Ovis aries: one gene and its partners. The protein of the gene in region 3 purifies or fractionates together with the protein of the main gene of each other region. This does not show direct contact. Links are inferred from orthologs where the notes say so. Each region holds a gene or a part of one and is shown on either strand. Other genes may lie near its edges.

The links. The genes of interacting proteins can lie anywhere in the genome.
Region 1: the proteins of HDAC1 (region 3) and E2F1 purify together in Homo sapiens (affinity purification with western blotting; 5 studies listed by BioGRID and IntAct, with this or other methods). This does not show direct contact. The link is inferred for Ovis aries from reciprocal best matches to the Homo sapiens genes HDAC1 and E2F1.
Region 2: the proteins of HDAC1 (region 3) and TRERF1 purify together in Homo sapiens (co-immunoprecipitation; 5 studies listed by BioGRID and IntAct, counting the BioPlex papers as one, with this or other methods). This does not show direct contact. The link is inferred for Ovis aries from reciprocal best matches to the Homo sapiens genes HDAC1 and TRERF1.

What each region holds. Positions count from the first base shown.
Region 1 is NC_056066.1:63,133,772-63,137,217, reverse strand, and holds the end of E2F1 (transcription factor E2F1), read left to right. Parts: coding exon 1-150; intron 151-1,076; coding exon 1,077-1,191; intron 1,192-1,291; coding exon 1,292-1,517; intron 1,518-1,635; coding exon 1,636-1,883; 3' UTR 1,884-2,946; downstream 2,947-3,446. UniProt on the Homo sapiens protein: Transcription activator that binds DNA cooperatively with DP proteins through the E2 recognition site, 5'-TTTC[CG]CGC-3' found in the promoter region of a number of genes whose products are involved in cell cycle regulation or in DNA replication.
Region 2 is NC_056073.1:16,008,897-16,012,396, forward strand, and holds part of TRERF1 (transcriptional-regulating factor 1), read right to left. Parts: intron 2,677-3,500; 5' UTR 2,419-2,676; coding exon 1,009-2,418; intron 1-1,008.
Region 3 is NC_056055.1:235,252,818-235,257,739, reverse strand, and holds part of HDAC1 (histone deacetylase 1), read left to right. Parts: intron 1-1,145; exon of another isoform or gene 1,146-1,300; intron 1,301-1,602; coding exon 1,603-1,715; intron 1,716-4,922. UniProt on the Homo sapiens protein: Histone deacetylase that catalyzes the deacetylation of lysine residues on the N-terminal part of the core histones (H2A, H2B, H3 and H4).

The sequences.
Region 1 (3,446 bases), on a different chromosome or scaffold from region 3:
CAACCATGCAACGGTGGGGATCGGTGGGCGGCTTGAAGGATTGACCCAGGACCTCCAGCAACTGCAGGAGAGCGAGCAGCAGCTGGATCACCTGCTCCACATCTGCAGCACCCAGCTGCGTCTGCTCTCCGAGGATGCGGACAGCCAGCGATATCCTTGAACTGCCTGGAGGGTCACCAGGGCCCCATCTAAGTGGGAGTGGAGGGCCTTACCTTGGGCCCTGGATTCAGGAAAGAGTTCTGGCTTTGGATACCGGTCCTGGCTCAGCATTCACTCCCAGTGTGACACTGGACAAGTTACTTAACCTCTCTGAGTCTCAGCTTCCTCTGGAAAAGGGGAAAAACAATCCTACTTCAAAGCTTTTCGGATTAAAACCAGAAAAGCTAATATCAGTAATAACTGGTTTATTTAACACAGGGATAACATTTATTTAATACAGGGATTTAATACCTGGTTGTAGCTTCAAGGTTAGAGTTGCTTTTATTTGCAAAAATATAAACTTTATTTTGAAAGAAGTTATGTTTATACATTTTGGAGATAACGGCTCAGACGGTAAAGAATCTGCCTGCAGTGTGGGAGACCCGGGTTTGATCCCTGGGTCAGGAGGATTCCCTGGAAAAGAGAATGGCAACCCATTCCAGTATTCTTGCCTGGAGAATTCCATGGACAGAGGAGCCTGGTGGACTATAGTCCATGAGGTCATAGAGTCAGACATGACTGAGAATTTAACACTTACACACACACACACACACACACACACACACACACTAATTGACATCAAGGTCATGGGTCAGAATAAATTCTTAGGACTATGCCTGGATTTAAGTAATTTTTATGAAATGATTATAGGCAGCTGTCATTACCTTGAGCTTCAATAGGTAGAGTGATCTCATTGTATAGATGTAGAAGCAGGCTCAAGGGCATGAGATCTGCTTGACCCCCAACCATGTGCCAGGCCTTGGAGTGGGTGATGCAGAGGACAGGAGTGACTAGGCAGCGATGGGCTCTGCCTTCTGAGCTGTCTGGGTGGGTGGCCCCCAAAGGCCAAAGATCATGTGGTCCTTGACTCCACCAACCCTGGCCTATGTGACCTGCCAGGACCTTCGTAGCATTGCAGACCCTGCAGAGCAGATGGTCATGGTGATCAAGGCCCCCCCTGAGACCCAGCTCCAAGCCGTGGACTCCTCGGAGGTGAGACCTGGGAGTCTAGACGGGACTAGGATGGACTGGACTGGGCTGGGCTGGTAGTCCAGCTGAGCCTCAGTTTACCCTGCCTGCTACCTCCATCCAGAACTTTCAGATCTCCCTTAAGAGCAAACAAGGCCCCATCGACGTTTTCCTGTGCCCTGAGGAGAGTGTGGGCGGAACCAGCCCTGGAAAGACCCCGTCCCAGGGGGCAGCTTCGGGGGAGGAGGAGAGGGCAGCTGACCTTGCCACCGCGGTGCCACCACCACCGTCGTCACCTCCCTCATCCCCTGCCACGGATCCCAGTCAGTCCCTGCTCAGCCTGGAGCAAGGTTGGTGAAGGCCGGGTGGGCAGGGTGGGCCCGGCCCCTCCCCGAGGTGGGTGGGCAGGTGTGTCAGCCCCTCCCTGCCGGGGGTGTCCCCGGCTGTGATGCTCCTGCATCTCCCCAGAGCCTCTGCTTTCCCGGATGGGTGGCCTGCGGGCCCCCGTGGACGAGGACCGCCTGTCCCCACTCGTGGCGGCCGACTCACTCCTGGAGCACGTGAAGGAGGACTTCTCCGGCCTCCTCCCCGAGGAGTTCATCAGCCTGTCGCCCCCCCACGAGGCCCTCGACTACCACTTTGGCCTCGAGGAGGGTGAGGGCATCAGAGACCTCTTCGACTGTGACTTTGGGGACCTCACTCCCCTGGATTTCTGACGGGGCTCAGGGGGACCAGGGCCTCCTGAGATGCCCACCCCGTCTCTGCAGCCCTGGAGCCCCCCGCCCCTGGCCGTCCTAGCCTAATTGGAAACATTTAATTTATGCCCCTCTCTCCTACCTCCAGAGGCTTCTAGCTCTGGAGCCTGGCTCCTGCCAGGAGGCTGAGCAAGCCAGGAAGGGAAGAATTCTGTTTGTGGTGTTTGTGCATGCACCCAAGCCCCGACGTGTGTGTCCACGGGGTGAGTGGTGTGTGAGCATGTGTGTGTGCATGTCCCGGGGAATGAAGGTGAACACATCTGTGCGTGCACTGAAAACACGCCCCAGTGTGTCCACGTGTGTGTGCATGAGTCCATGTGTGCGCGTGGTGGGGGCTCTAACTGCACTTTTGGTCTTCTTGCTCCAGGGGCCCCATGAGGCCCAGGGTGGCCACCTGCCCCCAGAATCCTGTGTGCTGACCAGGCCAGGTGGCGAGGCCTTGGCCTGCTTGTTGGCAGGACAGCGAGAGCACTTCTATCGTCTTAAAGGTTTTTCTGATTGAAGCTTTAATGGAGCGTTATTTATTTATCAAGGCCTTTTTGGCAAGCTTGGGGCATCAGCAAAGGGTAGGAGGGATGTGGGACTGGTGCCGCAACTCCCTTACTCCCTGAGTGAGGGCAGGGGTCCTTGAGCTGTTCTTTGCCCCACTCCGAAGGAGCTGAGGCCTGAGTGGTTTATTTATTCGGAAAGCGAGGGAGGGAGACACAGACTGACTGACTGACAGCCATGGGTGGATTGAGGGGGTGGTCCCTCCCGACGGGGTCCCTGCAGGGCCCCAGCTGCCCCCAGGATGGATGTGAGATGGGAGAGGTGAGTGGGGGACCTTCACTGACAGGGTGGGCGGGAGGGGTGGGGTGAAGGGCCTCCCCCCCCCAGCCCAGACCACAGGGGCCCTTCCTGTGGCGTTTGAAGTGCCCCCTCCACCCTACTTCTTGCTCTGCCCCACCCTCCAATCTGCACTTTGATTTGCCTTCCTAACAGCTCTGTTCCCTCTGCTTTGGTTTTAATAAATATATTGATGGTGTTTGGGCCCTGTTTGGGGACTCTGTACTGGGAGCAGGTCTGTGGGTGGGAGAGGTCAAGGTTGCTGGTGTGATGACCATTCCCTACTTTACGTTTCCCTGTCCCTGCCTGGCTTCATTTTATTTGAGCCTCACAGCCCCAAGAATAATCGTTTTCATCACCTTTTTTTAATCCTAATTAAAAAACTGGTTGAGTAAAGTAAGCAATGAATTCCTTTTTCCAGCCACAGAGAGGCCACCCTGATCAGTTGGCTATGCTCCGTCCAGATGTTTCTGGACATTTGTAAACAGGCAGCAGATAATTACAACCAGCTGATTCTGTGTCAGGTTCTGGGGACGTGTTCCTCCCTTTGTGGAGCTCTCAGAATCTGCTGGAGGAAACTCTCAAATAAACGAGAAAATCAGGGAGAGCTTCCTGGAAAAGGTGGTGCCTGACCTAAGGCTGTGGGATAGTAGAAATTAACTGAGAAGGAAGAGGAATACACCAACCAGGAGAAGGCAA
Region 2 (3,500 bases), on a different chromosome or scaffold from region 3:
AAGATACAGCCTCACACAAGACCTCCTGCTGGAATTCTTTTTAGCCTGGGCCATGCCATCTTATTCTTGCATTCACAAAGGCTCTCAGTTACTACTGGCCTGAGTCCTAAACAAAACAGGGTCAGAGGGAGTTATCTCTGGCCTTCAGCCTTCATCAGAGCCCTCTCTTCATTTACCCTGGTTTTATTCAAGGTACCCTCCTCCCTTGAATCTGTTGTCACTTGAGTGTAGCACTTGGAACACACCAAAACATGAATGGTGCCCAGCACACAGTAGGCAATTTTATGATCAAATCTATTTGGGAAACAATTAAGAGTTAATACCTGTCACCCGCAGGCTGACTCTGATCTGCAGACATGGTCTGCTTGGCTGGACTGTTTTTAAAAACCCTGACTGTGGATATCATTAGTTGGGGCATTGGCCCTCCAGTCCACAAAATCCACATCAGGCCATTCTGCTTATTGACTTTACCTGCCTGGATCCTGTGGGCAGCTAAGGTTTTTCACGTCTGCAACTACATGAGATATCCCTTCATATTGATTTCTCCCAAGAACCCACTCCCCTCCCCCGAGCAATGTCCACTGAACATTCTATGGAACTCCTATTCTGAGCAATAGACTTTGAGAAATGCTGTCATAATATGGTCTCCCTCCCCAGAAGGGAACAATTTCACAGGAAGTCCCCTAAGGATACAGACCTAAAGGGGACAAGACACCCCCACTGTGTGGTCCCTGGGCACCTGATGAGGCCTTGACCATGACATGCATCATCTGGGACCTGATATATATTTTGGCCGCCTCTTTAGTGAGATTATAAGCTCTACGGGCAAAAGACTGAGTCACAATTGATTCTGTATTCCACAATGTCTGGTTAATGTTTGTGGAATAAAGAAAAGAACGAAAGTGTCGGAGGGGTTTGGAGGATGGGACTAGGCACTGCACTGGACTCAGCTCTGGCTGGCATACGCGCACCCTGAGATCCCGGGATGAACGTCCACTCTGAGGATACCTGGGGCCACACGGCACTGGGAGACAGCTGCTGGTGCTGAGACCCCATGTTGTTGAGGTGGATGCTGCCAGGGGACAGGAGCGGCCGGTGCGGGAGGGCACTGCTGGCCCGGTTCAGGTCGGAGCTGGCTGTGTCTCCCATTCCTGTATCTGGAGGCCCCAGGTCCCCGTGGGAGCTCAGCATGGCCTGCGCCTGCCTGTCGCCTGGATAAGTCTTGGGCTGACTGTCCTCAGGCTGCTGGTGCTGAGGCAGGTGGCTCTGCTGGTACACGGGGTGGCCGTAGGGCTGCTGGGGCTCCTGGTAGTAGTACTGGGGCATGGAGCCCAGCTGAATCAGCTGGACTGCATGCGCCTGCTCCGGGGTGTACTGGTGGGGGTCCCTGTGATAAGAAGGGGGCTGCAGGTGCATCTGGGGCTGCTGCGGCTCTGGCAAAGGCTGTATCATGGGTGGGGACTGGTAATACTGAGGTATCTGCATTGAACCCTGCCGTGGCTGCGACTGTGGCTGGGGTTGTGGCGGGCGAATCTGCTGTTGCGGCGGCGGCTGCATTTCTTGCATGGACACCCGCTGCTGCCCGGAGTGTGGCTGTTGCTGTGGCGGGTAATACTGATGCGGCTGCAGCTGCTGCATGTGCTGGGATAGCATCTGGGGGGCCTGCAGCGACTGTCCTCCCTGCACTGGCATTTGGGCCAGCGGTTGCTGGTAGTCATAATACATGTGCCCTTGGCTCGGGTGCTGCCCAACCTGGAGAGCCGGTTTGGATAGCCCACCAGTGAAACCAGGGTGAGGCTGCTGGGACGCCTGCTGGTAGCGGGACGGGAGAGCCGGTGCTGGGGCCTCCATGGGCTTCTGGGACAGCAACTGGCGGAGGGCGCTGTCGGGTGCTCCGTCCATCACCGCTGACTGGGTGTGCAGCACCTGGGCCATATTGTTGACCTGAATTCGCAGGTTTTGGTTGGCAAACACCTGGGTGAAAGAGTCTAGCTTGTGCAGGACACCGCTGGTGAGCTTCTGGGTCCGGATCTCGCTGGCCTGCGAGTAGGTGTACTGGTAGCCATCGGTGGGCTCCGCCTGGGCTGGTGCCCCCCACATCATGTTCGAGTTGGTCAGGTTGCCACGTAGCTGGATGTGGTTTCCAGGCCCTGCATGGCCTCCCCACCCTCCCTGCCTCGAAGTATCCACTTGGCCAAGGTTTTTGGAGCCAACAGCCAAGCCTAGACCATCCCGAGTGTCTTGAGGGAAGTGGGGGGAGATGGGTGATGCCTGAGGGGCATCCATTCCAGCCCCGGGCACTGTATTCCCATAGTTGTGGTTCAGCCCGCCGTGGACGCCAAGTGGTGGCTGTTGGTAGAAAAGGTTCTCACCACCGTGGGCCACATGATTGGTCTTGTATAGCTGCTGGTCCCCCATGGTGCCTGCCCTGGTTGTGAACGTCCAGCCACAAAACCATACAAAAAGGTCAATGACACAAACCCGAAAGGACTGAAACCCTGAGAAGCAGAGAGAAAGCGTCCACACTACTCCACGGCTGACATGTCCGTGACCGTGGCTGCAGCCAGGTGTTCCTGTTGGCCTCTACCACGCATGTGCAGAGCGAGGGGTTTTACATCCTCACCCGGGCTAAGGGACGGACCAAATGCCACCGTGGTGAAGAGATGCTGCTCACACCTGCAAGACAAGTTGCAAAGGACAGGAAAGGACTTACTTGGCTGTTTTGCAATGAGCAACTGTATCTACCACGACTCATTAGAGAAATAAACACAAAACGGGAGCCTGGATTAAAAATAGCCAGTTTCATACACGCCACACCTTTACACTGATTCCGCAGATCTTGACCCTCACATAAGATGTGAACTCTCTTACTTTCAAGCTATTGCTCAACGGCTCATTAGTTCATTGATTCGTTAATTCATTGTTTTGCTCACTGATTAATTCATCCGTTCTTCTGGGACCCTGCTATCGAAAGCCCAGCACTACTGTAGGGCCTAAAAGGATATGAAGAAGTTTAAGATTATGATTGATACTCATAAATCAATTCATCTAGTAAACAAATACTTATTAGACAAAGACATTTACTAAGTGGAAGACACAATGCTTAAGGGAATGATTAAGACATGGGCCAGATCTTGAGGAGCTCACAGTTGGAAAAAGGAGTTGGTCACATGAATAACTACAGTACAAGGATGAAAGAGACACATGTACAGAAAGGGGAAAATAACAGATATGGAATTCATAGGCTGGAGGGTATATTTCTAGCAGAAGAACAGTTTCAAAGAAGAGCAGTGCACGTCAGTACACAGCTACTTGATCCTTTGGTATCCCTGCTCAAAGAAACATCTGTGCACATTGCTGATCACCTGGCCAGAAGTCTGTGATGGGCCTGGACTCAATAAATAAATAAATAGGTAAACAAATAGGCGGAGCCAATCAAGTTCCCTCTCTTAGAAACATGAACTAGGGGATCTCCCTGGTGGTCCAGTGGTTAAGAATCT
Region 3 (4,922 bases):
GAGGGCTTCCCGAGTGCACTAGTGGTAAAGAACCCACCTGCCAATGCAGGAGACTTATGAGATGTGGGTTTGATCCCTGGGATGGGAGGATCCCCTGAAGAAGGAGTTGGCAGCCCACTCCAGTGTTCTTGCCTGGAGAATCCCATGGACAGAGGAGCCTGGCAGGTCAGACATGACCAGAGCGATTTAGCATGCACGTGCCATATGGGTGAGTCTCTGTAGTAACTATTTAGCTACTCAACTCTGCCATTATAATGTAAAAGTAGTCATAGATAATAAAACTAATGGGCATTGTTGTATTCCAGTAACATCTTATTTAGAAAAATCAAGCAACCAGTTAAATAACCCAGATTTGCCTGCCAACGTCTAGAGCAGAATGTGTGTGTGTGTGTGGTGTGTGTGTTGGGGTAGGGTGGTTGTGGTAAGAAGTTGGAAAAATAGATTAAGAAAGTCCTATTGAAGTTGTTCTTTATGCTTTATCCTATAGAAAATGGGGAACCATTAAGGATTTTTGAGTAGGGGAGTGATGTTATCAAAGCTGTGTATTAGGAAAATAACTGGTATGGCAGATAGTTTGAACTGACAGCAGAGGGACCAGTGGAAGGTTATTGCTATGGATAAATGAAGAGATGGTGAGTTTATGGGGCTTCCCTGGTGGCTCTGCTATGGACAGAGGAGCCTGGCAGGCTACAGTCCGTGGGGTTGCAAGAGGTGGACACAACTTAGCGACTAAACAACCAACCAACCTGGTGGCTCAGTGGTAATCTGCCTGCCAGTGCAGGAGACATGGGTTCAGTCCCTGATTTGGGAAGATCCCACATGCCTCGGAGCAACTAAGCCCATGTGCCACAGTCATTGAGACTGTGCTCTGTAGAGCCGGAGAACCACAGCTGCTGAGCCCACGTGCTGCATACCTTAAAGCCCGTGGTCCGCAGCAGAAGGCACTGCAATAAGAAGCCTGAGCACCACAGCTAGAGAGTAGCCCCCATTCTCCTCAGCTAGAGAAAAGCCTGAGCAGCAGTGAAGACCAGCACAGCCAAATAGAAAAAGAAAATTAATGGATAAGCTAATTTTTACAGAGATGATGAGTTTAGTCTTTAATCTATAAAATGGGAATAATACTCCCTGTCTTAACTATTTTCCAGGGTATTTGTGAGAATCCAGTAAGAAAGTGATTGCAAAAGTGCTTTGACATCATAAAGTGTTCTGATGTGCAGGAGGTGAACTGTGACTTACAGTAATTCTGAGTAGTGATGATTATTCTTTCTGTTGTGGGAGTGAATTCCTTGGAGACAGTGAGGTGAGTCACCTCACTGGCCGATGTTCCCCAGTAGCTTTGGACTGACCCACTCACACTGTCTAATGCCTTTGGGTTCCAAGGGAAAAAACTGGGCCAGACAGACATCCTTAAGTGCTCATCTCACTACGGTCCCCTGCTTTTTGTTTTCTTTTGGAGTTACCCTTCCTTGATGTGGGAGAGAATCTTGGAGCCTAGAATGAACCAGACAGAATTTGCCTAGAAATTTGTTGTAAAAATCTGTGGGTTCTCCTGGGAGTGTGTGTCTAACTGTGTCACTGAAGCTGTCACTCTTTCTTCTTCAGGGGATGTTGGAAATTACTATTATGGACAAGGCCACCCAATGAAGCCTCACCGAATTCGTATGACTCACAATTTACTCCTTAACTATGGTCTCTACCGGAAGATGGAAATCTATGTGAGTTACTGGGAGCTTCACCCCTCCCTAGCCTCTTCAGCTCTGGTTCCCCATATATCATTCATTATCTCTTTTTTTTTCAATTACTCATGAAATGTGTTGAGTGACTGTTACGTGGCAGACATTGTAAATGGTAGAGATTGTTTTTTAACGTGCTCACTCTAGTGCTGGTGAACAACATGTACACAAATTGTACTAGAGTGTGTAAGGGCAATGACTTAAAAATGTGTAAGATTCAGGGATATTGAGGTGGAATGTGGAAGGGAGCCTTGGAATGTTTCCTAGAAGTGATAGCTAAACAGTGTTTTAAAGATTAAATAGAAATTAGCCTGGAGTTCAGGAGGGGACTAGCATTCTAGGCTGAGGGAAGAGCATATACAAAAAGGCAGAAAGGTAGGAACAATATGATGTGTTTAGGGAAATGTAAGTAGTTTAGTGTGCAAGTATTGCTGCAGTATAAAGTTGGCAAGTGTGAGAGAGGGGAGCTAGAGCTGGAGAGGTCAGCAAGAGTTGGGTGTGCTATATTAAGCAGTTTTGCTAGGCCAGGGTCAAAAAATCTAGTCCCTAAAAACTAAGTGATTGGAACTGTGTTGAACTAGATACCAAGTCTCTATAGTTACTGGAGCGTATGGACTTTCTAGCCATTTGGCCTGGCTCCAGCTGATGTCTTTTGCCACATCTTCCAGTTTTCCCTGATGGCTCAGCGGGTAAAGAAATCTGCTTGCAATGCAGGAGACACAGGAGACATGGATTCCATCCCTGGATTGGAAAGATCCCCTGGAGGAGGAAAATGGCAACCCGCTCCAGTATTGTTAACTGAAAAATCCCATGGGCAGAGGAGCCTGGTGGTCTGTAGCCCAAAGGGTCACAAAGAGTCAGACACGACTGAGTGACCAAGCACATAGTGGTTTTTAAAGAGAAGCCAGAACTCTGGATTATTACATAGAGTCTTCAAGGTTTAAAATGTTGGCCCAGGTTTGTTGGAAACATGTAGGAACAAAAGTGCATGAACATATCTGTGAGCCAAATTTGGTCCAGAGTTTCCCAATTTGAACTTTTCTGGAGGCTGTAAAAAACAAAAGAAGTGTTTATTCAAAACGTTCTGTTTATTTGTTCGGCTGTGCGGCTCTTAGCTGTGGCCCACAGCGTCTTCTGTCTGCATGGTGGTGTGCTGGCTCTTCAGGTGCAGCATTCAGGGCCTTTCACTGCGGCATGCAGGATCTATTTCCCTAACCCTGGGATTGAACCCAGGCCCACTGCATTGGGAACGTGACGTTTTAGTCACTGAATCACTAGGGAAGTCCCAAGTGAAGTATTTTAAATGAGAAATAGGAATAGGCATGCATTTTAGAAGCAGGGAGGCTAAGTTAGGAGGCTGTTGCAAGAGTCCAAATGAGAAAATAAGGAGGGGCTGGGGGCCTGTGTTGCCTTATGGTTAGAATGTAAGAGTTGATGAAGTCTGTGCCGACAGCTTACGTAACCTAGCAGCAGCAGCATCCTTCCCCACCATTCCAGAGACTGAAAGGAGAGGAATCTTCTGTCCCAGGCGACCGTGTCACGTCTCTGGAGCCCCTGGAGGCAGCTGGGGAAGCAAGGAGGGAAGGTAGATGGAGGAGCAGATGGAACTTGGGACCAGAGAGCATTTTCAGGTGTGAAGGGCATCTGGGAATGAAAAACATAAAAGATAGCAGAGGTTTTCAGGGACTCCAGGGAACAGACTAGTATTTAGATACAGAGAGGGTACCTGAATGTGGAATAGTAAGCACCAGGGCTCCACGGGGCTGCCTGTTGCACATCTCAGCCATGCTCACCTGGCCTCAGTTTGCCTCCCTCCCTGCCACTCCACCCTCAGAACCCTCCATTTCAGCCAGATCAGATTCTGCCTCTTTCCACCCCATTCTGATGGGGAGGATTATTTACTCCACCTAGTCATATCTTTCTCATTTTCAAGAGTTGCGTTAAGCACTGTTTCTTTTTTTCATTCAACAGATTTTTGTTGAGTACTTGTTATAACCCAGGGACTTTATTAACCTCCATGAGTGATACTGATATATTAATAATAAAAAAAGGGTCATATCTTTAAGTGAGAGGAGAAATTAACTAACATTTGTTGAAGATTGCTAGGTACCAAGCCAGGGCTACTGTTATTTACTTAATCTTTATAGCAACCTTGATTTTAATCACTCTCCGCTGTGCCTACCCTATACTATTTTTATTAAAGAAGAAAGCCCTTCCTAGCAACTTCCTAACAGATTTCCCTTTAAGTCTCATTGGGTCATTTGCCATACTTAGACCATTCACCAGCAATTTGATCCTTGGGGCTGGGTATACCCAACCAAATTGAGATCTGTTAAAAAGAGGGAAGGGAGAGAATAGCTCTTTGGGAAGTAACCAACCATGGCTGTCATAGGAGATAATAATACCTTATTGGAGATTACTTCATCTGTGTGGTATTCTTATTGTAAACTAAAGCAAAAGCCCAGTGTAATCTCTTGCTGAAATCGCTAGACCATGTTCTCTTTCATGTGATCTTTTTCCTTTTCTGGTTCTATCTCCCCCCCCCCCCCCCCAAAAAAAAAAAATTCAATCTTTCGACTATACTGCAAAGCTTGTGGAATCTTAGTTCCCCGACCAGGGATCGAACCTGTACCCGGAGCGCAGAGTCTTTACCACTGGACCACCAGGGAAGTCCCTGGCTCTACGTCTTTATTGAGTATGAATCTTTAGTCCTCTTCTCGCAACAGCGTTTCTCTGTTGATCTCTTCTTTCTTCTCCTTTCTCTGGGCTATGATCCTAGCATCCCTTTCCCAAAGGACAAATAGCCATTTATTTTAGTGTCTGTCCTGAAATTAATGGCTTTTGAGAGTTAACTCCTGAAAGAAATTCCCTAGACTTCTCATAGAAGTTTCTATACCTGAAGGAGACAGATTGAAGACTTTTTCACACAATTTCACCTTCTTGGGTTCCTTCTCCAGTTCTTTCTCTGCACATCTAATTAATCTCTCCCAGAATCAAATCCTCACTTTTCATCCAGGCATCTTCCTATTTACATAATTAAGAATCCTGCTCTCTTCCTTGCCTTGGATACTGATTTTGTATATTCCCAGGCTTCTTACTCATTGCCTTCTGTTCCTTTTTTTAAATGTTTTTATAAAATATTGCGTAGATCTGAAAGAATTTTTATAAAATATATGTAAAGTATAAAGA